Linked DNA regions of Lepisosteus oculatus. The protein of the gene in region 3 binds, or shares a complex with, the protein of the main gene of each other region. Links are inferred from orthologs where the notes say so. Each region holds a gene or a part of one and is shown on either strand. Other genes may lie near its edges.

Region 1 (7,696 bases), on a different chromosome or scaffold from region 3:
TTTTACTGCTTTACTGCCTGCGCTGTAGTTTCGCAGTCAGTCACTCAGTGTGCAAGGCAGCAATTATATTAAAAGACACAGCTGTTTTTCCCAGCTTTTCCTGACAGTCTTTTCCGTGCTCTAAGATACCTGTTGGGTTTCAGTTCTCATAGAGCTGGGCTGAACTGCTGAAGCATTGGGCTGTATGAAGGTGAAACAAACCTGCAGTTCCTTCAGTCTTTCAAACAAAGAGAATTGTGATGGCTGAACTTCCCATAGCCTGAGATGGTCTTCTAGATGTCATTACTGTCATCGGGCATCTTGCACACAAGCACCTACCACTCATAGATAAGACAGTCAGTATATGTGGTTCAGCTGGACAGCAAACCCATTGAACTGAGTGCTCAGTAATTACTGATATAGGAATAACTATTATACCCCAGACACGTAATGTTGTTGACTGCTTTTAGCGACTGCTGTGAAGACTGGATTGAAGCGCAGAAGATCACGGCTGCTCTTCTGGAGGGCAGGTCGTACGAGAGCCTGGTGGACTTTGACAATCACCTGGATGACCTGAGGAATGACTGGACTAACCCCGAGATCAACAAGGCCATCCTGCACCTCTGCTGAGGGCTCCAGAAGCAGGAACACTCTTCAGAGCCATTGCTGCCCAACAGAACTGGGATCTTTTTGCTTTTTGTTCCCCCCCGTGAACTGTTTTTCATGAGCAGAGCTGTCTGTGCACAGGCGACGCTGACTAAACAATGAGTGTTTAGAAGAGGCCAGAAGCAGGGGTACCCGGTATCACATCTTCAGTTTTAATGTGATGGAAAGTAATCAGGTTTCTATTGAAATAACAGGTATCCTTCAGACAGCTGTGTATGTGGAATCACGGGCGTGGTGAGTCGTAGTTTCTCATGGCTGTTTCTGTGTAAACTTGTGATGTACTGCTGTTCGGGTGCAACACTACTGCTGTACTGCAGTGGCATTAGTAATTAATAGTTAAAAGACTATATTGAAGGGATTAATTAATTAAAAATGGTTATTCCGGTAATGTGCAGATTCAGATGATTAAGACAAGAGGTAGACTAATTGTATTCCTGAAATTACAATTTACAATTAATTTTTTTTTATTTGATAGCCTTGCCTGTAAATTAGATTTCCTAGTGTGTATAAGTCATGTTGTTCCTAGAACTATTCTTGAGTGCTTCCTGTCCAGGTTTAGGAATAGCATTTGTTGTTAGAATTCCATCATGTATGATGTTTAAAATTGTATTTCCGAATCAAAATTGTCATTGCATTTTTTAACCTTTTAACCAGACTATACAGAAAACTAAAGTAGTCATTTTTGACTTATGTAAATGCTGCTTTTGACCATTTCCTTTGAATATAAAGATTGACCTGACTTTTTAGTCTATTAGACTAGCACATGACCACAGGGAAATAGATCTTTCTACTGAGAACCAGGAAACGTGAGTGGAATCTTTGGTGCATCATTTCATTATCTTAGAAGACTTAATTGATACAAATTCTTTAAAAAAATCAGTCATTTTTATAGTCCTAAGCATCATAACTGTTTCACCTGAATTACGTAGCTGCAGCAATTGGCACCACAGATTCGTCTAAATTTAGGAAATTGTTTAACCTGTTTTTTTCTTTCAAGTTAAATGCTAATTTTAAAACACCACAGTTAGATACATTTTTGTTGTGCTAGAAGAATTCTTTATTGACCTTCCTGGAGCTTCTCCCATTCTGTGTGCTCCGGAGGTGGCTTTGGGAATGCAGCGCTGAGGAAAAGGTGGAGCGAAATGAATGGGGGATGTTTTCTGTGGTAACGGCCTTCAGACAGGGGGCCTGACAGGACAGCATTGTCCATGGCCATCACTGTGGACACACAAGAAAAATGAGTAATTAAGGAAATTAACTACAGAAGTGTGGAATTTACTACCAGTAATGATAGTCTCCATTTACTCTAAACTGTAAAAGCCATCTCTTCCATCTCATCATAGGTCATCACTTCAGTTTTGCCAGTGAACATTATCTACTTAACGGTTAACTAGTTATTGGCCAGATACTTCACACCTGTCCCCAATCAAATGCTGGCATCATGAACTGTGTAATTTGCAGTTGGCAGGCTGGTTCAAAGTTTTGTTTTAATCTGAGCTTTTAGCTCAACATGTGAACAGCCATGTTATCACATTGATGTGAATGTCTACAAGAAACATTATTATCCAGAGTGATAATTCACAATATGCACAATTCTCTTCAAAATGCAATATTTCCTAAGATCCTTAAATAGTATGGGTATGTATCAATAGTTATCATAACCAGCATGAAAAAAAAAACAGATTTCTTGGACTAATAGCTGCAGATGAGGACAGTCTACTAATTTGTGGTACAGTATGTCTGCCAAAGTCATTTAAATGTAATAGGCATGGAAATGCTCAGGATTTTTATCTTATAGGATTCATATTCATTCTGGACCCTGAAAAACTCAACAAGATGTTGATTTTGAACTGTTTGAAGTTGTTGAAGCCTTATAAAATATTTAGTCTTGTGTTTGAAAACCTTAGTGTTATTCAATTCAATATTCAAATGGTCTGGGAGCCATTGGTTTGCTAAAAATAATTTAGAAAATGTTTAAGTTTTGTGTGTTATAATTTATATGCATTTCATAACCTCAGAGTTAATCCCATGTATTGTAGTCTGGTATTTTAATTCCCAATTGCTGTATAAATCTGATAAAGTCCAATCGTTTTATCTTCCAGATCAGGTTTTAGACCACAGTCATCTTAAAATGTAAATTAGAACTAATAAAATGTTTTTAAAATCTAGGTTATTTTTAATTTTTTCTTTATATGATATACCTTGTAATTTGTTGAGGTGCTGTAATTACAGACTACTAATTAAAGCAAGATGCATATTTTTAATCCTAAAATGTTAAAAATCATTGAGCATCAAAAAAGCGCTTGGCTTTAATATACTATTTATGCATGTATATTTTTAGAAAAATAAAGTGTATGGATTTTAGAGAAAGATGAAAAGCTTTCTGCATCATTGAGTTTGACCAGGTGGGCAGCACAGTAGTGCAGTGGGGAGCATTGCTGCCTCACTGTGTGGGACTGGGTGCTCTGTGCATGGAGCTGTATGTTCCCCCATCCTCGCATGCCTTTCCCAGACATGCTGGTAGATCAGCTGACTCCTGGGAACACCGGTCCTGCTGTGAGTGCGTGTCTGTCTGCCAGGGTGTGCCCTGCCTCATGCCCATTGCTTGCTGGGACCGGCTCCAGCTCCACCGCGACCCTGTATTGGAAGAAGGTGGTTAGAAGATGGATGGATGGATGATTAATTCACTGTACTTTTGACCAAGTTACACTAAATCACCTTATCAGTGAGGTGAACCAATTAGGTACAGGTAATGAAGTAATTAAGAAAGTCACAGAAAGTTACTAATATACTCCACACATTAAGAGAACAAAACCTTAATAATAATAATAATAATAAAAAAGACTGGAATAAGTGAACTGTTGCTTACCATCCAGTAACTTCTAGTCTGACAAGACAATACAGCCAAACAGCCTGTCAAATGCAGGCCAAGACACTGAGCCAGGAAGCCTTGTTAGTATTGATAGGGCAGTCCAAGTCTGATGATCTAGCCAGAAATCCCTAACCATTGGTCTGGAGAGCCAGAGAGCCACATTCCAGCAGGCTTTATCAGTAGTATTTAATTAATCCATTTCTAAAGGCCTGGAAAAAGTTAATTATGATCAATTAAAAAGGTGGTGTTCAATTAAATAATACAGAGATCATTTATAACAAAAATGTCCTTTCCAAAATATTGCTACAAGCAGCTCCTTTTTTAAATAACTGGTTAATTAGCATTTAAGGAGCTGGTAGCTCTCCTTTAGCTGCTACAGAACTCTTGAAGCGAGAGATGGAAGTCTTACTACACAGCTCTACACTGATCAAGCCTGGGAACATAATTTGGGTCCCTTGCTATAGGTCACCCTGACAACTTTCCAGCGTGACAAGGCACAGTCATCGGTGCACCTTTAACAAGAGATTTCTTGTAAAATGGGAATATGTTATGATTTGTCCTGCTGGTGAGACATGATAATTTGAGCTGGGATGATGTAGTGTCTGGGGTTATTTATCCTGTTTGTAAATGAAGCACAAAAGGCAAATATGTCTAAAAAAGCAACCGCGTTCTACTATAACGTTCCCGATTTTCTTTATCTTAACATTAGGCCAGTTAGCATCTTTTTTTTCTGGACAATTCTCTAAGCTACAGACGTGACGGGCACAATTAGGAGAAATGCCCAGGCTACCACTTGAGTAGATTAAAGGGTTTTCACCATTATCGCTGTATAACAGGTAGGTTTTCAAATAATTTTCAACGCGACGCAAAACTTTGTTTCGGAGATGAACAAATATTTATTAAACGTACTAAGATGCTGAAAAACTCAATAACATAAAAGTTATAAACATACAATTATGTTAATAGTGACTATTAATGATAAAAACGTAAGTCTGAATAATTAAAAAAATATGATTAACTTCACAGTAACCTATAATTAACATAATATAAGTTTGAATAGCTAAGAGTTTCCACGGGTAATAATCGAAATCGAAGGGCTGCTACAACAGGAGCCGGACTTCCGGTTCCCCCGTGACTGCCGACAGTAAAAACCTTCACTTCCGGGTCACAGCGTCATCGTCAGAATTCAGCGCGGGAAACTTGTCGGTAGACTGTGGTAGCTGGTGAAATATAATTTAAAAGTCTGACTTGCGGATGGATCCTTCAGAGGTAGAGTTCTTAGCTGAAAAGGAGATGGTGACCATAATTCCGAATTTCAGTCTAGACAAAGTCTATTTGATTGGGGTAAGTACATAAATGAAAGGGCGTAGCAGTGTAGTTAAGAATGCATCTGTATTGTGGTGTAGAGTATCCGTCCGGTTAGATACACATTTGACAAGCAAATGACAGAACATCTCTTTACGTATTCTTTTTGCTTACAGTAATAATAATGATAGACACAAACTACGTGAAATAGCTACAGTTAATGTAATGATTCCTTCTTTAAATCAATCGAGATTAAAGAAACCCGTATGTTTGTAGAACGCGATTTTAAACCGGGCTGAAGCGAGTGAATTTAAATCAAAATGCGAATTTGGGACGGTCGAATCACAGCTCTGTCAATTTTGACATGTAAAATTGTTTTGATTTTAAGCGTCAATAGTTCTTATTGTCCTGGTAGGGGGACTTGGGTCCTTTCAACCCCGGTCTGCCCGTGGATGTGCCTGTCTGGCTGGCTATCAACCTGAAGCAGAGACAGAAGTGTAGAATCGTGCCCCCCGACTGGATGGATGTTGGTGAGAACAGCTAATTTGTCCGGTTATGAAAAGATGGATAGATGCCACTGGATGTATTTGTTTCCTTTACATGTTAGCCTTTAGAATGCATTGCAGTTAATTTGCTCTGTCCACTTATTACTTAATGTCTTTCCCTTGTAGTTCATCTGTTATTATTAACGTGTTTAGTCGATTCTCAGTTAATAATTCCTTAGACCTACAATTTATAGCTTTTCTGGATACTCCACTCAAAGCGCTTTAGAGGTAAATAGTCTTCTCCACCACCACTGGTGTGCAGCCCAGTGTGCTGGATGTGACGGCAGCCGGAGTGCTCCAGTACTCTCCCCACACACCAGCTCTCAGAGGGGAGGAGAGCAGAGTGATGGAGCCAGTTCAGAGAGGGGGGTTATTAGGAGGCCATGACTGGTAAAGGCCAGGGGGAAGTTTGACCAGGACACCAGGGTAACACCCCTATTCTTTTTTGAGAAACTGGGATTTTTTAATCACAGAGAGTTTGTACCTTAGTTTTACGTCTCATCTGAAGGATGGCACCTTTTTACAGTTTAGTGTCCATCTGTCGCTATACTGTGGCATTAGGACCCACACAGACCACAGCGTGAGCGCCCCCTACTGGCCCCTCTAACGCCTCTTCCAGCAGCAACCTCAGCTTTCCCAGGAGTCTCCCATCCAGGTACTGGCCAGGCTCACCCCTGCTGAGCTGGTTGTCAGTTGTGAATTGCTGGGTGATATAGCTTCTGGCATAATAAAGAGATCTCTGGTATTTGAAATCTGAATAGTCCATCCATCTTGTGTCCAGATATTGTCTAAATTAAATTAACAATTGCCTCTGACAGATTGGTAATAATGAGGATTGTGTATCTCTAGTCTCAGCAACGGACAACTCTGTATTGCTTGTTTTAATCAGTTTAATAGGGAGACTTTATAACTCTGTGTTTACCAGAACAGTTTGAGATAGAATGGGATTTTAAAACCACATTCAATTGAAAGACATTAATGTGTAAATGCAGCTTTATGTCTTTTTTGAGATGTAAATTTGCTCCTAATGCCTGTGTCCCATAAAACCTAACGTGGCGTTCAGCTTTGGAATGAATCTGTGATGGTGCAGCTGGTCATGCTGTCTGCCTTGTTTGGGGGGTTAGCTGTGAGAGAGCGTGTTCAGTGTCAGCCCTTGTCTCTACTGCAGAGAAGCTGGAAGAGATCAGGGAGCAGGAGAGGAAAGTAGGGATGTTCACCCCTATGCCCAGTCCATACTACATGGAGCTGACCAAGTTACTGTTGAACCAGTGAGTATCGCTGCACTCTCGACCTGTGACACAAGACCCTTCCTACTCGGTCATGAAGCTTTAAAGAAATAGCTTTTCCTCTTTGCTTGAGCAACATGCAGTGCCAAGCTCAAGTATTCATTCCTTTCTGATGTAGTATGTATGTACGTTTATTTTAAACCGAATGTTTTTCACCACAATTTGAATACACGTAATATTTTGGGTAATGAAAGCTAAATATCAGCAGAAACTGCCATGAAAATTGGAGACTACAATCTGTTGACTTCACGAATACTCACCCCCTCTGTCCCGATGCTCGGTGAATGCTGTGAGTCTCTGCCAGCTGTGCACACTGGGCTGCTGCAGTGTTTGCTGTTCTTCCCTGGAAATGTGCTTGGCCTCGGTTGAGCTGCTTGGCTGAATGACCGCAAGTCTTCAAGTTTTCAGTCAGACTCAAGTCAGGATTTTGGTGGGGTCGACCAAGGACATTCAGTTTCTACTTTTGCCACCACCCTATAACTTTGGCCTCATGCTCGCGAAAGGTGAGTTTTGTGTCCCAGTGAAGAACATTAGAACTGTTGCAGAGGAGAGGAGATTATTCAACCCATCTAACCTTCTTGTTAGTTTGTAATTGATTGATCTGAGGATCTCATCCAGCCCTTTCTTCAAAAAAGCCAGGAGATCTTCAACCATATGGCTGGCTAGCCTGCTCCAGGCTCACGCTATCCTTTGGGTAAAGATGCTCCTCCTCTAAATGCACTTCCCTGCATCTTGCACCTGTGGCCTCTGGTTTGTTTCGCTCTTTGTGCTGGAGAAGTCCACTGGGCCGAGTGTGTCCGGGCCTTTGATGATTCTGAATACTCGTGTTGGGTTCCCTCATACCTTCTTTGTTCAAGACCGATTTGCATAAGAAACAAACAAAAACAGTTTATTGAATCCTTGCTGTGATTTGAAGTGGCATGTGGGATTACAGAAGGTTTAAAGAAATATAATTTTCAGATATGTTTTTCAAGAGGAACACACGTGCATCTTAAGACTGCAAGCTTTCATTTGTCTGCCCCCGTAACTGTCCTTTAAGCTCT
Region 2 (7,156 bases), on a different chromosome or scaffold from region 3:
AGTAACGGAACTGCGAGGCAACACAAAGACGAGGCTTGAGCACCCCAGGGGAAAAACTCAAGACATCAAAGCCCATGCGTTTGGGCAAGGAACGGGCTCCTATCAGGATTCAGGATCTGTGCTACCAGTAAAATTCTGACTTTTTAAAACACATTAATGAATGTTATTGATAAAAAGTAATGTACTGTAGGAGTTTTATGTATTTTTGGGCTAATGCTTTTATCTAACGTTTTTCAGACCTCAGCTCACAGCTATGAATCCTGCGACCACACACGGGGGAGAATAAGGAAGTCAAGGCAGACTCCTCCCACTTCCCCACCTTTGAGACAGATGGGATTAAACACAGTACGCATCCCTCATTGACAGAAAGGGGCACTGTTTTACAGACAGGGTGACTAATCCCACTCAACTGTATGTGCTACTTGAGGAATCGGCTGGCGACGTGACCCACATTCGAACCCAGGATCGCAGTAGCCTGTTAGTTTTATTACAGTTTATAGACAGGTTTCCTCCCATTCATCCCTTACAAATGTCAACTTCTGGTGCAAAACATCCAGGAACAGCTACCACCAGAGAGATCCTCAACATCCCGCTTTTTAAAATAGGAGAACACAGTAAATACCACCCTGTCCTCACAAACTCAGCATTATGCCACGATCCTGACCTGCTCCTTGTGCTCCAGAAAGGCTGTCTCCAGGTCCTGCCAGCCCCTGACTGGCACCAGCGTGTACTGAACATGGTCACAGTGGAACAGAGCCTGAAAGGAAAAACAGCACGCAGGTCATTTTCTCTTTAAAGACCTCGTGACTGGGAGGTTCCCCACTCAGGTCCCGTGTCTCAGCCACACAGTTGCTACAGTCTCCCCCCGAGCAGGGCACCGAATCGCCCTGTGCTCTGTCCTCCGGACATGGCCTCGTCTGGAGATCCCGTCTTCAGCGATGGCAGCCTGGACGGGAGGCGGCCGACTCCTGACCTGACAGCGTCCGCTGAGCAACACGGAAACATCCTCAGTGTGGAAACAACTGGACTTTTGGAGAAAATAGTGCAGGATACCAGCTGCCCAATAACGGCATCAAAAGCCAAAGTCAGTGACCGTGCAGGCTGAACAAAGTCTGACTGACCAGGGAACTAAATTTACCTCCCAACTGATGAAACACCTCCATCGGCAGTTAGGGATTACGTCGATAAAGACCCGTCCTTATCATTCACACACAGACTGACGGGTTGAAAGTTCGTGTCAGATGCTGGAAAGGATTGGGGGAGATGGACTGGGACTCTTTCTTCTATTTGCATTTCGAGAAGATCCGCAAGGCAACAGTGACAGATCACAGATCCTACAGCGGGCGATCTGCTGGCTCAGGAGTTAGCCTGGGAGCCTGAGATTGAACGGTGGTGACATGGCATTATTTGTCCAAAACCTGTAACTCACGCCCAGCGCGGTTCGCTTTGTGTCCAAGGAGACTCTTGGGTTTCCAGCTGTCCTGGCCCGTTATCAACAGTTAATGGCTCACTCTGTGAGGACTAGCACATCCCTGTGCACGCTTGCGTGATAACAACTGACCTACGGCCTCCGTGCTTCTCAAGTGAAAGAGATCAGACTTGCAAAGTTCAGTGTTACAGTACCCAATTACTGCGCCACACTGCTTTAATAAAGATGAGCTAAATTGATACTCTTGGATCTCGCCTTTCTTTCCCTGGGCTTTGAATCCGATTTCGCACAGGTGCACTCAGAACGCATTATTAGAGCATGGACTGCCAGATCTCTAGATCATAGATCTCCAGAGCCATAACTGGACATCCTTGATCTGGGATGTCAGCAGGAAAAGCAGTAGCCAGTATGCAGCAACTTTTATATAAAGCACGTTTCCTGACGAAGGACTCTTTCTCCCCTATATGGTTCTCAAACAGGCTCTAAAGAGGATAACGTCTACAAAAACACCTTGTAGAGGACACTTCTCAGAGAACGCTCCTGCACTCTTAAATACGCACCTGCAGTATTTTACAGGCGCACAGCGCGTCAATGTCCGAGGAGACCAGGAGAGCGACCCTCTGGAGAAACAGGGAGGGAGAGGATCACGGGTGGGGGGAAAAACAGAGAAAAAATATTAAATCTGTGGCCGAGCTGAGCTGAGGATGCGGCTTTCTTCGGGCCGGCCTGGTGTGGGCCCCGAATAAAGAACCTAGACCTCCTATTCTTCACTATATTGAGGAAATACAAGGCTACACCTGTCATTAAGTTTCTATGCACTGTATATAATGGAAGAATAATGCTCTGTAGCAAGTCAGCTTGATGACGGATTGACTTTGCCAACGTCGACCTGATCATGGGCCAGGCACTGATCTAACACAGAAGACAAAACACTTGAAAAAGGAAAAACAACAATAAAATATAAAGACAATTACAGAACACATCTTCGCATGAAGCGACGATATTTTATTAACACCTACAGATGTCATATGTAAACACTCACACGGAACACGAAGGTAAATAACACCAAACACCTTCCTTCTATTAAAATAGAAAAATAAATCGCCCTCTCGGTCGCCTGTTTAAACTGCCGCCCTAAAAAGATAGTGCAACATTGTTTTTCTTTGGGCGAGTTATGACAACCCCTGAAAAAACAGGCAAACTAAGTATCCAACGTCTGCTAAAACACCCAAGTATAAATATGGAACTCCTGAAGACCATTAACTGGCACTAATACCCTTAATACCTCTCGAATTCGTTACAATACACCGCGTTAAAACGAAACCCTCACGTTTAATAGTCTCTCTTCGATAATTGAGCACTACGACACAAAGGGATCTTTTTACCTGATTCACAACAACATCGTAGAACTCCTTCCGAATATCAGACACGAACATTTCCAAACCCCTTTCTATCGACGACTAGGAATAAAAAAAAATAAAAATGACCTTTTAAATAAATTAAAAAATAACTCGTACAAACGTATAAATTGATTTAAAATACACCAACTCCTTCAGAGATACAGAATCTTCCGTTCCTTGTTAAAAACCTGGCGCCAAATCAGTTTGATGGACTCCTGTTTCCTATTGGCTTGTAACAGATCGATCTAGCCAATCAGAGTTAAGATCCTTCAGCTACTCGTCGCTGATAGGTTATTGGAACAAGCCAATGGTTCGCCACCACAGGTAGACGATGCGCCATAGAATTTTACGCGGATTGGTGTGACGTCACGTCAAAACAAAACTTTAGACCAATCACTTACGTAGAGGCGGTGTACTGTTAAATGATTGGTTATTGACTTTGGAAACGACGTGGGGATTGGTTGTTGTTTCTCCTCGGGTCACTTCCCTTGGCGACTATTTACTTCCCGGTTACGGAACAAACTCCTCTTAATAATCTTCTGCTATTAGGAGATGGTCGATTGTAGGTTCACTTTATTCTTCTTTGGTTGAAACCATTTGTTTTCATTAAACATCGTACCCTAAAGAGTAAGAGTTCATCATGGTAAGTACAGAAGGATTGGTGGTTTTGTGTTTAATACGTCGCATATTGAACTACAGCGCCAGAGCTGTACAGAAAGAAAGATGCACCGTCACTGTTACAAGTTCCCGAGATGTGGACAGATTTGTTAATAAACCAGGCGTCGTGATGACAGCAGACGTCTGAAGACGAGTTTATTTTCTCAAGTTCACATAAAGATGTAAACACTGGAAAGACCACTCTTCTTCGAGCGACGTTCCGCCCTGTGCGTTGTGGCGTAGGTGTAAATATCAAGATAGGTGTCATCCTCTCTGTCTGCACGTAAATGAGAACAGCAGTGTTTGGGTTGCACCCGCGGCGGAATGGAATAAAGGTTTTTGGAGACCCTGAGCAGCAACAGAAAGTTGACATCAATCTGCCAGGGACTGACTTCGTGCTTTTGACGACCAAAAAAATAGGTCGGGAGGGCTGCTCGGGCCTGCGGGGAGATACCACCCCAAGAGCGGTTATAAACGGGGGCAAAACTCTGGTGCCCTTTTACCTGATGGTGGGGAGAAGCAGAGGCAAATCGAGTGCTCCTGCCCCAGTTGTAGAGCCCGGAGTTTCAGTCAACAGAGCCTGATTACTGATCAAGCCAGTTATGAACTCAGTCAAGAAACCTGGTTTCTAGACTGAAAACCAGACGTCTGGGTAGATCTCCAGAGCCATAACTGGACATCCTTGATCTGGGATGTCAGCAGGAAAAGCAGTAGCCAGTATGCTGCTCCTTTTATATAAATCACATTTCCTGACGAAGGACCTGACATTCTCCCACATGGTCCAGGTCTGAAAGTTGTGCTTTTTGTGCGAGAGCAGAACAACACCAGGGTGCCTGTATTTGTAATGGCAATAGGCTGTAAAATGGCCTGCAGCTATATCACTCTGCAACTCACAACAGGTTGCTGCTGGAAGAGGTGTTAGTGGGGCCAGCAGGGGGCGCTCACCCTGCGGTCCATGTGGGTCCTAATGCCCCAGTATAGTGACGGGGACACTATACTGTTAACAGGCGCTCTCCTTCGGATGAGACGTAAAACCGAGGTCCTGACTCTCTGTGGTCATTAAAAATCCCAGGGTGTTTCTCGAAAAGAGTAGGGGTGTAATCCTGGCATCCTGGCCAAATTTCCCATTGGCCCCTACCAGTCATGGCCTCCTAATAATCCCCATCTCTGAATTGGCTTCATTACTCTGCTCTGCTCCCCACTGAGTGCTGATGTGTGGGGAGCGGACTGGTGCATCATCCAGGTGGGGCTGCACACTGGTGGTGGTGGAGGGGATCCCCGTTACCTGTAAAGACCTTTGAGTGGAGTGTCCAGAAAAGCGCTATATAAGTGTAAGCAGTTATTATTATTATTATTATTATTATTATTATTATTATTATTATTATAATAAAAGACAGGAGCTCCAATGACAGTCCAGGTCTCTGCGAAAATATTTTAGATCTGAATGGAATCTCTGAAAGTAGTATTTGGAGCTGAAGTTGATTTCAGATTGGTCAGAGAAGTGTGAGTGGAACCACGCTGTATACCTGTACAACCAGCTGTCTCCACACCTATTGAGATGAAACCTTCGTTGTTGTTTTCTGGGGGCTGATCGTTCTGTCCTCTCATTTCAGTTTTCCTTCAATATGTTTGACCACCCGATTCCACGGGCCTTCCAGAACCGGTTCTCCACACAGTACCGCTGCTACTCCGTCTCCATGCTGGCCGGGCCCAACGACCGCTCCGACGTCGAGAAAGGAGGGAAAAGTAAGAGCAGGGGAGGCTTTGCTGGGTCTCCTGAGATGTCGCCCGGTCCTCAGCGTGGGGTCTGGGCAGCTGGCTTGATGCCACCCATTTAGAACGCCAATAGGGTGAAAAGCTCAGTTTCTGACAGGCTTGCTGAGCAGCTGTACTGCACTGTAACATCTTGCCACAGAACATAGCATAATATAAATGTGATACAGTATATGACATTATGTCATAAGTTCAGGTAGGGAGCTGCAGCAGGATGCTTAGGCTGCAAAGGAACAGGTAAAGGTTTATTCCCTGCTGCAAAAAGAACGTTTTGCCTGTGGAGCCTTCTTCTTCCTCAGCTGAAGAAGGCTCCACAGCCAAAACTTTGTCTCACTTTTTTCTTTTCAGCGAGGAAAAAAACGTTTACCTGTTCCTTATTATGTCATAATGTAGCATAGTAAAAGAAATGTATTTCAGCAATGCTAAGCTTTTGTTGTTCTTTTTTTGTTCTAGTTATAATGCCTCCATCTGCGCTGGACCAGCTCAGTAAGTACGCCAGTGACAAAATATGTAATATATAAAAATATGTTCTGTGTTTGCCATGTGCGTCTGTGTTGGTAATGAAGAACTAGCAGTTTCGTCTGGAAAACAGATCCGTAAGAGCCTTGCTTTGTCGGGCACGCACAGTTTAACTCGAGTCTTCCTTCAGGTCGTCTCAACATCACCTATCCAATGCTGTTCAAGCTGACTAATAAGAACTCGGACCGCATGACGCACTGCGGAGTGCTGGAGTTTGTCGCGGACGAAGGAATCTGTTACTTGCCTCACTGGGTGAGTGTCCCCTTCTTAAAATGTTTTAATAAAATATGTAACTTTGCTTTGGTAAAGCTATTTCTGTTTGGTAAAGCTGAAAAAATATATTCCGCTTTAAAATCATCTGTATTAAATAGTATTGTTAATAGCTTTTATTGTGTGAATTGAAAGTCTTTTTATGTCATGTGACATAACAAACAATGTGAGAGACATGTTTGCATGAGCTATTGCTGAGGGTTCTTTTCTGAAAGAGCTGGTGGAGATCCTCAGATCAGTCAGTGATGAAATCTAGAGGCTGGATCAGCTCCACTGCTTTTTCTTATTTGTAACCTTTCTCATGTTTTTACTCGGGTATTGAAAGTAAAAAACTGTAGGTGAACGTTTATAAAATGTCTGTTAAAGTAAAAGGGGTTGGTTTTATTGTCGATCTGGCAATTGGAGTAAAAGAGCATACACTTGCATACTTTTATTTATAAAGCCCCGAGAACTGCTTCATGTTGCATGGTTACAGTGAACATTGATTGTGCCCAGGCAGTAAGAGCTGGGTGATTGATTCAATGAAAGCTGCTGACTTGGTTGCCTTTCCTGCCCTCACTTATTTGTCTGCTTGGCCTGTTTTCCTTCAGATGATGCAGAATCTTTTGCTGGAGGAAGGAGGTCTGGTCCAGGTGGAGAGTGTGAATCTCATGGTCGCAACGTACTCAAAGTTCCAACCCCAGAGCCCAGACTTCCTCGACATCACCAACCCCAAAGCAGTGTATCCTTCCAGTTTCAGACATGGGTTCAAGTACCACTAAGGCCTGGAGAAAGATCCTACTTAAAATGACAACGCTTTCCACAGGAGTAATTCCACAGAATATTCCTACAGAGCAAATACCTTTGGATAAGATGACAGGCAATTCATTCCTTGGGCGGAGCGGTGGCACTCTGGCTAAGGATCTGCGCCTGTGGCTGGGAGGTTGCCGGTTCAAATCCCGCAACCGGGAGAGGAATCCTACTCCATTGAGCTGTATAAATGGCTGACCCTGCGCTCTGACCCCCAGCTTCTCCCTCCCTGTCAAAGTGTCTCATGGAAAGTAAGCTGGGGTCTGCAAAAAGACAAATTCCTGATACAAGAAATTGTATATGGCCAAATGAAGTGATC
Region 3 (7,912 bases):
TGGGCAAAGTGCAAACGTTAGTCTCATTTCCTTCCAGGTGATCCTCCCCCAAATATACAGGGCTGTTGCAGAAAAGGGGTCAATGTGATCTTCAGGAATTCTAAAGAATAATCTTAAGCCCTTCCTCATGAGGAGAAAGAGAATGGACCCTCCATAGGAACGGAATTAAAAGGCATAAAACTTTTCTGACCAGAAATCAATTTCAATTAGGATGGAAATAACAGTTCTACACTGTGAGCTTTTCCTCTTTTAGTTCTGAGACACTATGTTAACGGTACACAACAGTACCTTTTCTTGTCATGTATAATAGCGATATAATACTCAGAAAATCCACTCCCCTTTCTGGACACCTCTACTTGTTAAAGATAATGATAATGTCGCTTTATTAGCCCTATTCAATTTCTTGCATTAGGAATTTGTCTTTGCGCATACCCCAGCTTGCTCTCCATGAGACAGACAGGGAGAGAAGCTTGGGGTCAGAGCGCAGGGTCAGCCATTTATACGGCAACCTTGGAACAGTTGGGGTTAAGGGTCTTGCTCAGGGGCCCAACGGAGTAGGATTTCTCTGCCGGCTGCGGGATTTGAACCGGCAACCTTCCAGTCACAGGCACAGATCCTTAGCCATAGAGCCACCGCTCCGCCCTATGACACTGGTCTATAATGTGATTAAATGAACTCATGTCATTCTCAGACAAGACCTGTTACTGAATGTGCTCTGGGCACCGGAAGATTTAGTTGGGACTTTCTCACTCACTGGGCTACAGGATCACTGCTGACTTACCATACAGCAGCCCCCTTCTTAGACGCCCCCCCAGTCCTCTCTCCTGGTCCCGTCTCCTCATGGCTTCCTCGGCTGCGGCTCGGGCGCCGGGCGAGAGCTCCGACAGATCCTCCTCATCGTCCAGCCCCTCCTCCTCGTAGCGGTCCAGCTCTGGAATAGCCCGGTAGTCCCTGCAGACAGACGCTTAATGAACTAAAACGTTGCTTTTGGAAGCATCAAAAAAGTGATCAAAGTCTCTAAAAAAAAACACAAATTCCTGCAATCCCTTTTATTGACCACAAATATGCACAGAATAATTAAGAAAGGTTTTGGTTGCTGTAGTCCTCTAATTCCTGGTAAAACAAGGCATTGCTCTAAAAGCTATAGAATGCTGAACAGTATTAACCTGTAGGATCTTTTAATACCCACAGCTAAAATTGCAGTTTTCTTCCAACAAAGATTCCCCACATGTGCCGTCACTAATGCAGTGATACATCATTAGCAAAAACATAAGCACACTATAATTCTGTTTGCCATGATTCACAATACTACACCCTGCAATACCTTTTTAAGCTTTTCAATGCATTAGGCTTATTATATATCCTGCAGCTTGCTAGATCACTGTCCATCCTATAACGCAACTAGTTTTAAATTAACTGAACTCACTGTTCTACTCCACATAATTGAATTATTAGCTGTCGAATAACATACACCAAACACAAAAATAACAGTACTTTATAACTCCGACAGGATCTTTCCAACGCCATTACATTTGGTCTTAAACTCCTACAGGAAAGTACTGCCCGATAGGCAATTTAACTTCACCTCTGTGGTGATTTCAATATTTTATGCCATACTCCAAAAGATAACGCGAAAGAATGCACCGCGCTGTAATTACCTGCTGAAATGCTACATGCCAAAGCGAGATGCATTTGTTGTGCACAATGATCGCGGCAAAGCAGTCAGCGCAGAACTCACCGTTCCATCCCATCCCCGATCAGCTCTTCTCCATCCTCCTCCTCCTCCTCGGGGAGGGGGTCCTCTCCCAGCAAGCCCTCGGACTCATCCTCGAAGGGGGGCAGATCTCTGCCGGGGCTGGACGTCAGATCACCCTGCCGGGATGCCTGGCTGGGACTAGTGGCAATGTTGTAGGACTCGGAAGAATCCTGGGAACGAGATGAGCTCAATTCAAATTCTGTTGGTTGGCATCTAGTTGTTGTTGGGTTTTTTTTTTACACTACAGGACCAAAAAGTAATGATGAATATATGAACTCCTACAAAGAACCCTAAAAAAAAAAAAGCAATGGACTAGACACTGTAGAAATTTGATATTTGGCTCCTCCTTTTTACATAACCCAGCGTTGTTTGCGTTACCGAGGGCCGTCAAGGACACCAGGAATTAAAAGTTGAAATGAAGGCACGCAGATTGGACTAAAATCGCCTTCTGAACACTAATGCTTCTGGAGTTTGTTTTTCCAACATCTTCATCAGTCACCGGCGAGCAGGGCTCAGTCGAACAAGTGTGCTCAGGGAGTTTCTACCACACAAAGAGCAGCGCACTGTCTCGAATGCTTCTGTAGTTCTACTAACCACAGTTACATTTTGAGGATGATGTTCTAAATTACATCATTAAAATAATGGGAACGCCACTTTTAAAACATCCTTCCTTACTTTAGAACGTAAACCTCAGAATGACACAATGAAAACCTTTTCACCTCACTTCCCACTAAAATCCAAAAGCCGCGTTAGACTACACTTGCTTTAAAATTAAAAATATAGCAACGTTTCTTAAAAAACTCATAAACACAACCGTAAATATTTTAAAAGTGATTTTTAACTCTGAATCCAGACACCACATATATATACACCGTATATAACGTTCCGGTTCACCTCCTATCCTAACAGTATTTAACAAAGAATGATTCTTACAAAACCTATAAAGCAAGCGTTAACCCAAACGACTGCTTTTCGAGTGCAAAATAACTCAAGCTTAAGGTTTAGGACATGAAAATGATTTCAAAGCCTAATAACAAAGCTCAAATTCCTAACTAAACCGAACGAAAAAAATAGATTGTAAATCTTCTCCACTTCAAATATACACGATAATTTTTTTAAAAAAAGTGCGATTCACTATCGGTAAAACAAAAATAATTCCATTCTCTACTTACGGCCATTCTGTAGCTCCTGGTACTTTCTCTCTCCTGCAAGGAAACTTGCTGTTTCTCTCTTTTTCGCGCGAAATGGCCATGTGACAGCAAAGCGCGCGAAAACGTATGAATATTTAATTTAGAACTACGAACGCATTTTCCGATTGGTCCATGACTTATAAATATTCATTAGTCACGGATATTGAACCCATGTCCGGCCACTTTTAGTCCAGCCCAGGAAATGGGGGAGGTGCTTAGCAAGTAGCTTTACTTTAGCAGATTCGTTGCGCTGCTGTTAGTTAAGACACGTGTTTTCCAATACCGTACTTTTGATAGGAGTGCGTCCTTTTTGTACTGAAAAACACTTATATTCTTTAAAGGCAAGATCTGGGGGTTGGTTTCGCATACTCTGATTAGCGTAAGAACACCGGACTACATTAGTGTAGCCTAACATTGTTTAGTAGGTTTAGGAGTTTTATTACTCAGTTCAAAATTATTATTTATTAATTATTTATTAATATAATTATTAATTATTATCTTCACAGAGAGATGGACTTTACATTCACCTCCACTTACCTTTCTTCGTACGTTTTACAAAACTGAGATGTTCTTATGGCATGGTTGACAAAGTATTCTAAATGGAGTCATTCAGTTTTGTAGGGATGTCATAACTGTTTGTAGAACACACGTTTTATATCACATATCACCCTCCAATCACTTTACTTCATGTCCATTTCCAGAGCAACAGTAGGTTATTGTAGTCTTATCTCCCCGTAGCAGAAGATATTTGACATGACTTCATATGAATGCAGATCCCTGTTTCAATATGAAGTTCCCAGGCTGAAGTGATGTGAACAATACTCATTACTGGGTGAAACAATCAGTTCCGTGGGATGCCTGTACCATACAGATTTTTCAGATGTAGCGTATTTATGTAGTTGTGCTTGAACCTGTTTTGATTTAATACAGCATATTCCAGCATTGTCACCTTCCATATTACACTTTTGTTGTATCATGTATTTTTTTTATTCCTCTCACAGTCCAAGGACATACTGGTAAGTTAATTGGCTCCTCAGAAAATCGGTCCTGGTGCGAGTGTGTGTGTGTTTGTGCCTGTGTATGCCCCTGAGATGGACTAGTGTTCCATCCAGGGTGTATCTTTTCTGGCACCTATTGCTTGCTGGAGTAGAATCATGACCCTGTATTGCATAAAGTGGTTAGAGTAATGGGTTAATGGATTTCTTTCAATTTAAATTGTCTGCACAGCTCTACAGTATAAAACATAAAACACAAATATTTCTATTTTTATCTGACAAGAAAAGACTCACTGTAAAATGTATATATGCATAGATGTGTATTTCTTTGGATTGAAGGTTGATATATAGTGCTGACATTTTTTATGATTTATTGGCAAAAAAATACTGTAAAAGTATTTGAGCAGAATTCTGAACGTTATTCCAAACATATAAAAGACTCAACTGTGTTGTACTGAGTTATGTATGTGTATTGGTGTTATTTCTACTTGAACTACTTGGCACATTAGTTTCTCTTTGCACATACTGTATGTTGTTTTTTAGGCTAGGGCTAAAAAAAATCAACTATAAAGCAAAGAAGTCCCAAAACAGATAACCAAATTATTTTTCCAAAGACCTAATCCTCCCCCTTAAAAAAGTATTCTGATTTTTTTAACACACCGTTAATGCATACCTACTATATTACCTGGGATTACTTCTGACTTAGTTTTAAGAATGTTTCAAATGCACACACACACACAAAATAATGTTACTAGCTTTTATTTCAAGAATGATTTAACAATGTTTCACTTTTGACATACCAGTCTCTATTGTGAGATGTTTCATGTAAGAGATTCACAGAAGATGATTCATTATCTAGTGCTGTAAATTGATTATGCACATACTAATTGAAAGGAATAGTCAGATTATCTAGAATTCCTCAATTCTGTTTCAGTTGCTTTTAAAGATGAGGTACAGCACAGGAAGTGTTAGTGCAAAAGCAGTGTATGTTAAAACTGTGTTGTACATAGTGTTCCTGTTTATTTGTGCCTCTAGTCTCTTTTCTGATTGGGTCAATTCCAGCATGATGCCCTCTGTATCATAGGGTTGCACATCCTGGGACTTTAAAAGCTGGTTCTCTGTTGGGCGAGACCTAATGACCACCTTTACTGTTTGGAGCTCAGATGCCACCTTCCCCATCTCATGCTCCAGTTTTCTTAACTGAGGCTGGATGCCTTCAATCAAACCATGGATCTTCTTGCTGAAAAGCAACTGTTCTTTTAAGTCCGAATCAGAGGCACTTGGAAGTATCTTGATTGCAGCTGTCCCTGCCTTATCGGCTGGCTTTGGTCCTTGCAAAGTGCCCCTCAGGCTATTAATGAGACCGCCGAGCTCCTCCTGCTGAGACTCATGTATACTGGCCTGCACCTTAATTGCTTCCTGGAGGCTCACAGGTCCCTTCTGAGCCTCCAGGAGGAGGCTTTTCAACTCCTGCAGACGGACTCTGTTGATGTAGGTGGACCCCAGCACTCCGATCAGGGCCCCCAGCACCGAGCCGATGACGGACCAGTTTTTTGTCCTTTCAGCCCTGGCTCGCTCCTTCTCGTGGCTCTCCCGCACCCCGGCCGAGAACAGGGCAAACTTCTCCCGCTCCGCCTCCTCTGCGTTCCTGTAGGTCGTACGGAGGCGACGCTCCTCCTAAAACAGCGAAGCAAAATGAAGCACAGGGTTCCAGAAGTTAATTAAGATGAAAGTCAACCCCTATTGTCTTAAATTACAAAAGCACACCTCCCACCCCCCTTTAAATAACCCAGTGTGGAATCAGGTTTTTTTTTCCCCGATCCTGTCGTTCTGGCGTGAAGTCTCTTCCAGATTTCCTTTCTTGGGGCTCTAACTGAAAAGAGTGCCTTCAAAAAAAATCCCTCAATGCCCTCCAGAAAAATCAATCTGTCAAAAGGTAATGGCAACAAACATTTCCTCAGAGGAATGTACATAACTAGCACCAACGGACAGACAATGTAGGTCACAGAAGAAGTGGTGTTCAGAAATGGCGGAGAGCCAGACTAGCGTGTCGCAGTGAATGACACCGCTCTGAATGTAGCTCCTTAGACACGGGCTTTCTACTGTACTTATAAATCATTTAATGCCGGGCTCCCGACAGCACAGTTCTGCAAAAAAAGCGCCATGAAGTACGAAAGCAGACAGGGAAACCGAGACAGCAGTAATAAGTGGCGTTTTAACATCAAGCGAAAAGAATGACGGGCTCGCCCACCTGCAGCAGCTTGTGTTCCAGCGTGGCGAGCTCCAGGTAGTGCACCTCTTCCCTGGACACGCGGTCCAGCCGATCACGGACCTCCTTCAGCCTCACCTGCAGGGCCTCCAGGCTCTCGTGGGCTTCCCGCACGATCCCCCTGGCCACCATGAAAGCCTGCTCCGCCTGAGAAACCCAGAAACCCTCGCTCATTTTCCAACTCACGAGCAGCTAACTGAACCAACAGGTCCAGGCTAGCCTTACAAACGTCTATTATCAAAAGCAAGGAGGAAAGATTTGGTTTTCCCCACTGTTGATGGACAAGCCAAGTAAACACCCGAAAGGCTATACCACATTTTTTAGAATTAAAATAGGATTCCTATAGGAGGGTATGTGAAGAAGAAAAAAAAAAGTGTAATATAAACACTTATTAAAAATGTTAATTATCAAGGTTAAGAAAATACATGTTATATTTACAAATAACTAATGTTATATGAGGATGACGTTCTGCTTCTTATTAAAGGTATTGGTAGGGTATGTAAATGACTACTATGAATGTTGGTGGTGTGCCGTATAAGACTGAAATAAAGACAGGGCAATTGACTTTTCCTTTTTCTGAAACATTTTTTGAGCTTAAGAATCAGTTAATTAAGCCCCTGTCATAGGATTCCAGGGGATCTAATATCAGAATCTATAAATCTACTGGTCTTAAGGTGCTTTTGAGAGCAGTAGAATTATAGAAACCAATCCTAGGGGATTATTTCATTACCATTTTTATTGTTCTACAGTGAAATGTTATTTGAAACATTTAGCATTTGGGTAAAGAAAAGATACAACCAAGGTATTGGGAAATGAACAGTTGAAATGCTAATGGCTTCTTTATAGGTAGCTTGTATATTATACAAAATTTTAGTTACAAGTTAAAGGTTTAAGGTTTACTATTACTTTATTAACCAAGGTCTGCACAGTGTCTTTGAATGTTTCTCTTATAAACACCTTCACATTATGTAAAGACAACAGCCGTAGATACATCCACAGTACATCTATAAATGTATGACCCAAGCATATTAGGTAAGCGATGCAGCACAACTGTCTAACATCATTTAACTGAAAAAGAAATTGTGGTATACTATTTGTTTAAATAAAAATAAGCAATTTATTTTTAAATCCTATTTTTATGTTTCACTTTTTATCATTGTACTGCTTTTTTGGGGATTTTTCTTCCAACATTTCGGCAGAACTGTAGAAAACGTGTTCCTTTATTTCTCAGTACTAGTGTGCAGTGTAGTTGTAACTTCCCCCACTTACCTCTGTGACTTTTGCCTGTGCATCTCGGACTTCATTCAGCCCCACAAACTCCTCATATTTCTCCCACCAGTTGTTGATGGCGGCTGAAGCTCCCTTGACAGAACTTTGCCCCCACTGTCTGCTTATATTAGCAAACTTTTGCAAACCGGACTGCAGTGGTAGCTTTCCACCGGCTTCCTTCGGGTTCTGAGCACAATAAAATCGAAACGGAAGGACATCTGGTCTGAGGTTTCCCGATACCTGAGCAAGATAACAGCGTGTCCCATACCTCACTGGTAACAAGTCCACTCTGTACCTCATTGAAGACGGTGCTACCACAGTCCAAATATGGTACAGGAGACTACTGGCCCTGTTTCAAACACACCTGAAAAAAAAGTATAATTATTTATAATCAGACATATTTATATTACTACTCTGACTTTAAAAAGTTAAT
Region 4 (7,594 bases), on a different chromosome or scaffold from region 3:
CACACCACAAAAGCCCTTTCACATCGGGGCCAGGGAGAGACGTGAGTGAATGGTACAAATCGCGTGTGCATATAAAAAGATCTATTCAGTATCACATAGAAAATCAAACTGCAAACATTCTCTGTCTGGACAGTGTTCCAAAAACCCAACATGATTAATTTGTTTTTGGGATTCATCCATTCTTAGATGACAGCACAATGTAAAACAGAGCAGAGCAAGTGGGAATTTGTGAAAGATGTTCAATTTTGCATTAATATTTGATAATGTAACACATAACATATAGGAAATGGTGCAGTACGCAGTTGGGCTGGCAGTAGAGGGATATCGGTCCAGATTGGGCTCACCTTTACAAGTTCCAGAAAACCCAGTCTCAAAATTTTGTGTAAGCCTTATCTTTAAATGTCAGCATTTTCCAACTTTTAAGAATTTTTGGTTGACAGTCGGTAGTGAATTGTGGTATTTTGTGTTACTCAAAAAAAGAGATGGAAGATTGACTTCCTGAGTTATCAAGAAAGATTTTTTAAGGGGTTAAAGTAAAGGCTAGGCTTTATGCAGGGATTAGTGATAGCATTTGGGCTACAACTGGTCTTATGATCAGTATGGGATCTTGTTATGGCTATTGTAAGGGAAATGTGACAGGGCAGACAGGTATAGATTCCTGAAAAGGTTAGGAGCTTATTACTCTGAGGTCCACGAGCTGGACTCCTTGTTTGCATGGAGAGCCACTCTGGTACAGTACAACCAACTCTGAGAGCCATTGATGCCTTTAAGCCTTCTGTGTCATGGTAGAGGTTGCTGTATTGTGGGGAGAGAGCCTATTCCTACACAGGCTGCAGTGACTGATGGGTCTCACTCCAGCCCACCTTTCAATTATTGAATTCATTTAATTACAAGATGAAGTGCACAAAATAAAAGAACCATTTCCTCCCAGGTCTTAGTCAGTTGGTAATTAAATGATCCTTGTAAATGCTGCAGGAGACGCTTGTCTTTGTCTGAAGGACTGGTTAAGACCCTCTGTGTTTTCAGACTTCACTGTGACGCAATGAAAGTGGTACAGGGCAAGCCCAGGGCATGAGTGGTCAACAGCACACTGGCCACCTCTCCTTCCTGCTGGCTGCAGCTGTGAGAATATTCTCTCGCTGTGTCCCTCCTGCTGCCTGGCGTTTTATACACTCTGAGGCCAATGGGCTGAACTCACAGAAAGAACTCACTTTGTGTAAATAGTCCTTGATTGTAAATGAATGCCTGAAAAAGTCATTGAGGCTTTATGTTACTACACAACACTGTGCTTTTTCACTTCTGGAAATATTTTTTTATTGTTTTGTTGTATTTTTTAGTTTAATTTTATTTTATAAATATAAATACAGTTGTGTAGCTGGAACCATGCTCCTGTGTCCTTTGCCTTTCTTTTCTAACACTTGTTTGTCCATCTCTGTGTTTTGATTGCAAAGAGCAGGTCTCAGATCTTGGAGCATTTATGAAACACATTAAGAAGGCTACAAAAAAAGACAAGACCGTTCTAGCTAACATGTCCATTGAGTGGCTTTTGATCTGAAAAGATCATCAGGGATTCTTCCCAGGGGTATTGCTCTTCAGGGAATCCCAGGGGATCAGCTTCCTGGAGAACTTACATTATGACTTGGCAGCTTGGTTCACATGCCCATCACCCTTTGCACAGAGACCTTCACCCCCTCAGTCCTAGACACATATTTTCATGTAAATTCCACTTCTTCTTTAGCTAAGTATGAAGCAATCCATTGGGTTAACTTTACCAATGCCCTTCAGTATTCCGAATACTTTGTAGCAGGTCACCTTGTAATCCCCTCTATGTAGGACTGAAGATACATAAATCTTTCAAACTATCTGTCTATGCCTTTCCTTTTTGAACCGGGATTATTCTGGATCCTCTGCTTTGAACTCTTCTGTCTTTTCTGTCTTGGCCAGGTGTGATCAACACTACCTCTCCCTGTGCCTTTCTTACTGAGTGTGTCACCTTCACTCTGCACCCTCCTGCCTCCCTTACTGTCCTTCCCACTTTGTTGCTCTGCCTCTTCTTCCTCCTTTCCTGCCTCTGTCAACTTTCCCTCTCTCCCAGCAATGTCACTTTGCCTTGATGGAACAGGAACATGTGGGTTTCTGACTTAATGCCAATCTCTTCACCCCCAACCTCCTCCCACAAACTCCACAGCTATTCCTGAACTCCAGAGGAATTTTCAACACACAGCATGCTCGGCAAGCCCAGACCTGCTTTCTGCCCGCACCACCCTTCCCCAGGACGGAGGTGGAGTGACTGTTCCTGACAGGCAGATACAGCAGTGGGGACTAATCGTAATGTGCACTCTTACCAAGGATGAAGAAGAAGCATAGCCTTTAGGACTAAATCATAGTTTCCTCACATTCTAAATGTCTTTAAAACCCACAGGCTGCAATCCTTACTACTAAAAAAAGTTACAAATGAGAGGAGACCAACAGACCCATCTATCACACATTTTGTTCACAGGGTAAAAATAGGTGAGGGCAGCTTCGGTTGGCAGGGCCCTCAGAAAACAAAATCATCTGTGTCAAGGCCTGCGTGTTTTCCAGCTCCATACATCTGAGCCCAACCCAGCACAGCACAGACTTGTCAGGGTTAAACTCAACAGAAGCGACATGCCAACCTCACCTGACCACAGAGTCAGGCTGGAACTGAACCTCAAACTAGATTTAATGATGGCGAAACCACTGTGGCTGCTAACTGTGTGTCAGCTGCCTGAGCGAGAATGAGTGTGTGTAGGGGGTTGTGCGTATTGACAACTACAAAACAACAAGGGACTCTGGTCTACCCTCACATGTTCCAGTCAGGAAGTGCCAAGCACTTTGCTTCCCAACATATCTTCCATATGTTTAGCTGGGGGGCAGTTATTCAGATGTCCTCCTGTTATGCAATACTAACAGAACTGTTAGAGCTGGCATAAAGGATGTATAATTTACAATATCCTTAACCTGATACAAAAACACATAGGCAACCACACTCTGTCCCATCTGGAGCTGTGTGACACTAAGGTGAGCAGTGTGGAACTTTGCTCAGACATTGTGTTTACAAACAGGGTGTGAGAGTCTGCCACAAATCTGACTTCCATTCAACCAAAGCCATACTTTTCGTCTCTTTGTTAGCTAGATGTATGTTTGCCAAGAAAACGCAAGCATATTGGAAGCTGGCACTTTGTTGATGCCTGTTGACAGTAGGGGAAGCAGACGTGTAACTATACATAATCTGAATTACTTTGCCAGACTGTGTTTGAAAGAATATTTATACAAATACATTTTTAATTATGCAGTGCTTTTCTGCATCTAGATAGTATCTTTTTAATCTGCACTTTTGAACTTGTAAAATCCCTTTAAAAAATGGGAAGCAAAATTTGGCTGCACAGTGTAGCTCTATTCCCGAATACCCGGCCTGGCACAGCGATACTGCCTTTAACACTCCCTTGTTGTCTCAAAATCGGGTACTTCTCTACGGGTGAATGAACCGGTTTACTGAGTAACGCAATCTGTTGCATTGTACGGAGAAACTGCGTCATCTAGTGGACAAATTATGTCATGGCGTGTATATAACAATCGTATGCAGTCTTTCATGTAAAAAGATCGGAGGATTCCGGTAACAGAAATTAGAAGAACGTTTTCCCCGTTTTTCAGTTGAAATAGTATAAATAATACCCTGAACGTGGTGATTGTTTTAAAGTCATATGTCATGAAGCGCCTTGGGCCAAACTTGATGAGAAAGGCGCTATATAAAAATGCATTGAATTGAATTGAATATGTATTTTCTATTTTACACAGCTCTTCACGAGTGACAGTTAATTTGGGATCGATTTGTAAGGGTGGATTTAAAATATATTGTAAATGCCGTTACTCATACTAATTCTGTTACTTCTAGGAGTGCAATCAAGCTACTATCTGTAGCCCGATTTAATCATATTTCAGGAGCTAAGCAAAGCTGCCCCTTAAAAAAAGAGATGGGAGACCACCAAAGACATTAATGAGTGAAAATGTCTCTTAATAAAATTGTCAGCCAACGTAATAATATACATTCTTTCAGAATTTCCTAGAGGCCCTTAATTTTAGGAGTCCCCTCTCCTTCATAAAGCACTTTTAGGTCCTTTGGAATGAAAAGCATAACGCATTTAACGAATTTTATTTAATAAATAAAAGTACATAAACTGTACATGTACATGATTTTTGTTGCTGACAAGTATCTTTGATATATATTTTTAATTTGGCTGACAATTTTATAAATAGACATTTTCACTCATTCATATAACTGGATATTTTGTTAGAACAATTTGTTGAAGTATCTTGCCTAAAGTGACAACAGCAGTAACTCACTAGAAATGTGAACAACCTTCCAGATATGAACCCAAAATCCTAGTTGATTGATCAATCTATTCTATTTTGTCTGAATTAAAAACATACAATATATCCAGCTCCTGCCCGCTCACTACAATGTTGATAACTGGACGTACAGCACAAGCACATGTTAAGCTCGGGAGAGCGTACGTAGACATCTCGCTCTAGGACCTGCCCAGGAAATTACCGGGAGAGTGACGTCATTACGTCAGTGTACTGTGGCGTGCTTGTATTACGCGCGAAATTTGTCCTCACAGAGCAATAAGAGAAAATCAGATGGAGTGAAGAAGCATCGAAATAATACAGAGATTTGGAACTCTTACGTCATATAAAAAGAGGACGGAATTTATCATTGTTCGCGATAAAAGTTAGTTCTTAAAATGTTTTTGTATTCCTTATTTTAGGAGTACATTTTCTCGTAATTGGTGGTATGTGCTGTCTTTCATATAGAGAGGCGATCTGAAGGTTTGCGACTTGGCGGGGTTCAGTTGTTGGAAGTACAGAAACAGTAACAGGAAAAAAAAAACAGGAAATCTCAATTGCTCGTCACACCAGCTTTGCGCGGGTAAAGTACGCTTTAATTCGGGGTTGATTTGTAGTTTACAGACGGTGAAGACTTACATGCTTCACACCGAGGGAAGTTGGCGAAGCTGGATACCTTGTTTTAGAAAATAAACTGAAGTAGCATCGAAAGCGACCATGTCTGAACACGCAGGCTACTCTCCGAGCTTCAAGAGACCTGCAGACACTCTGCGGTTGCGGAGGCAGCGACAGCGCTCCCGCAGCGAAGTGTTGACCTCTGGCGGCTGCAGCTCCGGGGCCAGTCCGGGGGGTGCGCTTTCCGGGATCAGGCCCTTCTCTCCGGGACCCCTTCTGGGCTCCGCGGTGCGCACGGGTGGCCAAAAGCGCAGGAACCCCTTCGCTAGCATCGAGAACACGTACAACAGCCCGAAAAAGAGGGCTGTGGAGGACTGCCAGGGGGGGGACGGACCGGCGGGGTGCAAGCCCCCTGTGGAGGCCGAGGGAGAGAACGGTCCACAGGGACTGAGCGTCTTGGAACGCGGCCTCTGCACACGGCGTGTTCTTGCAGAGACGCACAGCCGAGAACCCTTCAAGGTAAGAAGTCCCTTTCTTAATGCAGTGTTACTAATACACTACACCAGCGTAATCACTTGTGTTTAGAATCGGTGATGTCTCACCCTGATGCGATTTTAAATAAGAAAAATTACATTATGCAAGTAAACCCAATGTTTAGAAATGAACATCTTTTCATATTTTCAAAATATGCTGCAGAGTTTATGAGTTTAGGTGGTGTAGTATAGGAATTTACATTGAGTGCAACAGTGCAAGTGATTAATAAAATGCACACTGGGAGAGTAGTAGGACAGTTGGCATGTCATGGCCTCTGAATGTCCACTCTTAGTGGCAGTTTCAAATGAGGGTGTTGCCTGCAGTCAGTGAAGGTGACATCTCTTTTGCACCTGATATGTAGCTGCTTTTTCTTTTAATTTCCAGGTGGAACTTTCTCTTCCAGAAGATGATTCCCTTTTGGAGAGAGAGCTGTTTTCAAAACAGACAGCTCGTCCTCACATTTACTTGGTCAGTATGTTTTTGTTTATGATGGTTTTGCTCCTAAGCAGGAGTGGTTAGTGTATTGCTGCCTCTCAGTGCAAATGCCCTGGGTTCAATTCTGGACCTGGGGTGTTATCTGTGTGGAGCTTGTATGTTCTTCTGTATTCATGTGAGTTTCCTCCCACAGTCCCAAAACATATTGGTAGGTTAATTGGCTAGTGGGAAAACTGGCCGTGGTGTGAGTGTGTGCCCACGATGGACCGGTGCCATCCAGGGTGTATCCTGCCTTGCACTTGTTGCATGCTAGGATAGGCTGCAGCTACCCTGAATTGTAAGATACGACTACAAGATCGTTGGGTTTTACTCCAGGGTATTTTGCCTTCCAAAGACTGTTGAAATGCATTTTGTAAAGTCTGTAGAAAGTAGTGTTGTTAGTGCTTTGGATTCTTAACCAGAAGCATTTCCTAACCTGTAGACATTGATGTTGCATGGAACAATTTGTTTCCCAAATTATTCCTGTCCCCCAGTACTGTATACATTAGTACCTCTGGTATAAGTACTAACGCTGTGATGGATTGGCATTTTTCATTCTCATTTTTCAATTCTTGTTCCGCTTTTGTTCCAGTTCCCTAAATGTAAAAAAGGAATTGGAATTGGTGAGAAAAGGGGTTTGGGATTGAAAACTGGAACTGATCCCTGTGCTCCCACGCTCAGGACAGCCATTTTCCCCCAGACCAGTTTAACTTCGGCAACCTGGGAGGAGCTCCAGCCTGATAAACCTCTGGGCTTGAGAAAGAAAATAGTAGAATCTTCTTGTTTGGCTTGATGTTTGCAACAGTCTAGTGTAAATGGGGGACATGGTGATCGCTCGCAGTTGTCTGTACAAATAACCTCACCGCATCCCCTCTCTCCCAGGACTCTGAGGTCCCAGCTGTGACCGCGGCCGCATCCGACACTCCCTGCACTCAGTTCCCTCCAGATTGGAGCCTCAAGACGCGTCTCCTCTTCACCTCCCCTCGCCCCTTTGCCTGGGCAGAGAACCTCAAAGCACAGGAGGAGGCCCAGGGATTGGTCCAGCATTGCCGTGCCACCCATGCCAACCTGCTGTCCCACAATCAGGTACAGAGGGTCCACACACCACAAATTTCATAACCTGCAACGTTGGGGGGGGGGGGACAGGAATTTCTTTTTCAATTTGAAGAGATTGGCTAAGAGTGACTTGTTTTTGATTGTAGGAGGTGGCAGTGTGGGTAGCTGTTGAGCAGTGGGTCAGTTGTTGATAATTTCTGTAGATGATAGAAGTGAGTGGTGATATTAATTGTCTGGGAGTGTTTAGTGTATCAGGAGGAGGGAACTCAATGCCTGGCATCCAAAACATCCCATTGAAAATTGCCCACTGTGCAGTAAACATCCAGTAAGTACGTTTACTCTGCAGTGCTGCACAATGCAGTAAAAACAATTTACAGAGCAGACAGTTGTTGCCCAGTTGTATATTGCCTGTGTTTTCTGCTTTGTAACTCCCCACTCAAGGGAAACTCGAGTACATTGAAGGGGTACCTACTTGTTTCACTAATGTTGACTCCATGTGTGTCTTGCTTTATTCAGGAACTGCAGAACAGCCCAGATTTGCGCTGTG

The links.
Region 1: mcm2 (region 3) and gins2 share a complex: the UniProt entries of both Homo sapiens proteins name them as parts of the CMG helicase complex. The link is inferred for Lepisosteus oculatus from reciprocal best matches to the Homo sapiens genes MCM2 and GINS2.
Region 2: mcm2 (region 3) and cdc45 share a complex: the UniProt entries of both Homo sapiens proteins name them as parts of the CMG helicase complex. The link is inferred for Lepisosteus oculatus from reciprocal best matches to the Homo sapiens genes MCM2 and CDC45.
Region 4: mcm2 (region 3) and protein downstream neighbor of son homolog share a complex: the UniProt entries of both Homo sapiens proteins name them as parts of the replisome complex. The link is inferred for Lepisosteus oculatus from reciprocal best matches to the Homo sapiens genes MCM2 and DONSON.

What each region holds. Positions count from the first base shown.
Region 1 is NC_090715.1:16,818,193-16,825,888, forward strand, and holds the start of gins2 (DNA replication complex GINS protein PSF2), read left to right. Parts: upstream 1-4,692; 5' UTR 4,693-4,771; coding exon 4,772-4,861; intron 4,862-5,237; coding exon 5,238-5,352; intron 5,353-6,535; coding exon 6,536-6,635; intron 6,636-7,696. Other genes in the region: emc8 (ER membrane protein complex subunit 8), read left to right, coding at 450-609. UniProt on the Homo sapiens protein: Required for correct functioning of the GINS complex, a complex that plays an essential role in the initiation of DNA replication, and progression of DNA replication forks.
Region 2 is NC_090717.1:1,234,182-1,241,337, forward strand, and holds the start of cdc45 (cell division control protein 45 homolog), read right to left. Parts: upstream 3,017-7,156; 5' UTR 2,866-3,016; coding exon 2,815-2,865; intron 2,050-2,814; coding exon 1,990-2,049; intron 758-1,989; coding exon 665-757; intron 11-664; coding exon 1-10. Other genes in the region: ufd1l (ubiquitin recognition factor in ER-associated degradation protein 1), read left to right, coding at 3,470-3,472, 5,100-5,232, 5,713-5,745, 5,909-6,030, 6,639-6,769. UniProt on the Homo sapiens protein: Required for initiation of chromosomal DNA replication. Core component of CDC45-MCM-GINS (CMG) helicase, the molecular machine that unwinds template DNA during replication, and around which the replisome is built.
Region 3 is NC_090699.1:59,492,455-59,500,366, forward strand, and holds the start of mcm2 (DNA replication licensing factor MCM2), read right to left. Parts: upstream 3,005-7,912; 5' UTR 2,935-3,004; coding exon 2,929-2,934; intron 1,927-2,928; coding exon 1,739-1,926; intron 952-1,738; coding exon 782-951; intron 1-781. Other genes in the region: ccdc51 (mitochondrial potassium channel), read right to left, coding at 4,872-5,618, 6,193-6,357, 7,480-7,779. UniProt on the Homo sapiens protein: Acts as a component of the MCM2-7 complex (MCM complex) which is the replicative helicase essential for 'once per cell cycle' DNA replication initiation and elongation in eukaryotic cells.
Region 4 is NC_090708.1:28,968,395-28,975,988, forward strand, and holds the start of protein downstream neighbor of son homolog, read left to right. Parts: upstream 1-4,590; 5' UTR 4,591-5,085; coding exon 5,086-5,502; intron 5,503-5,901; coding exon 5,902-5,985; intron 5,986-6,873; coding exon 6,874-7,077; intron 7,078-7,563; coding exon 7,564-7,594. UniProt on the Homo sapiens protein: Replisome component that maintains genome stability by protecting stalled or damaged replication forks.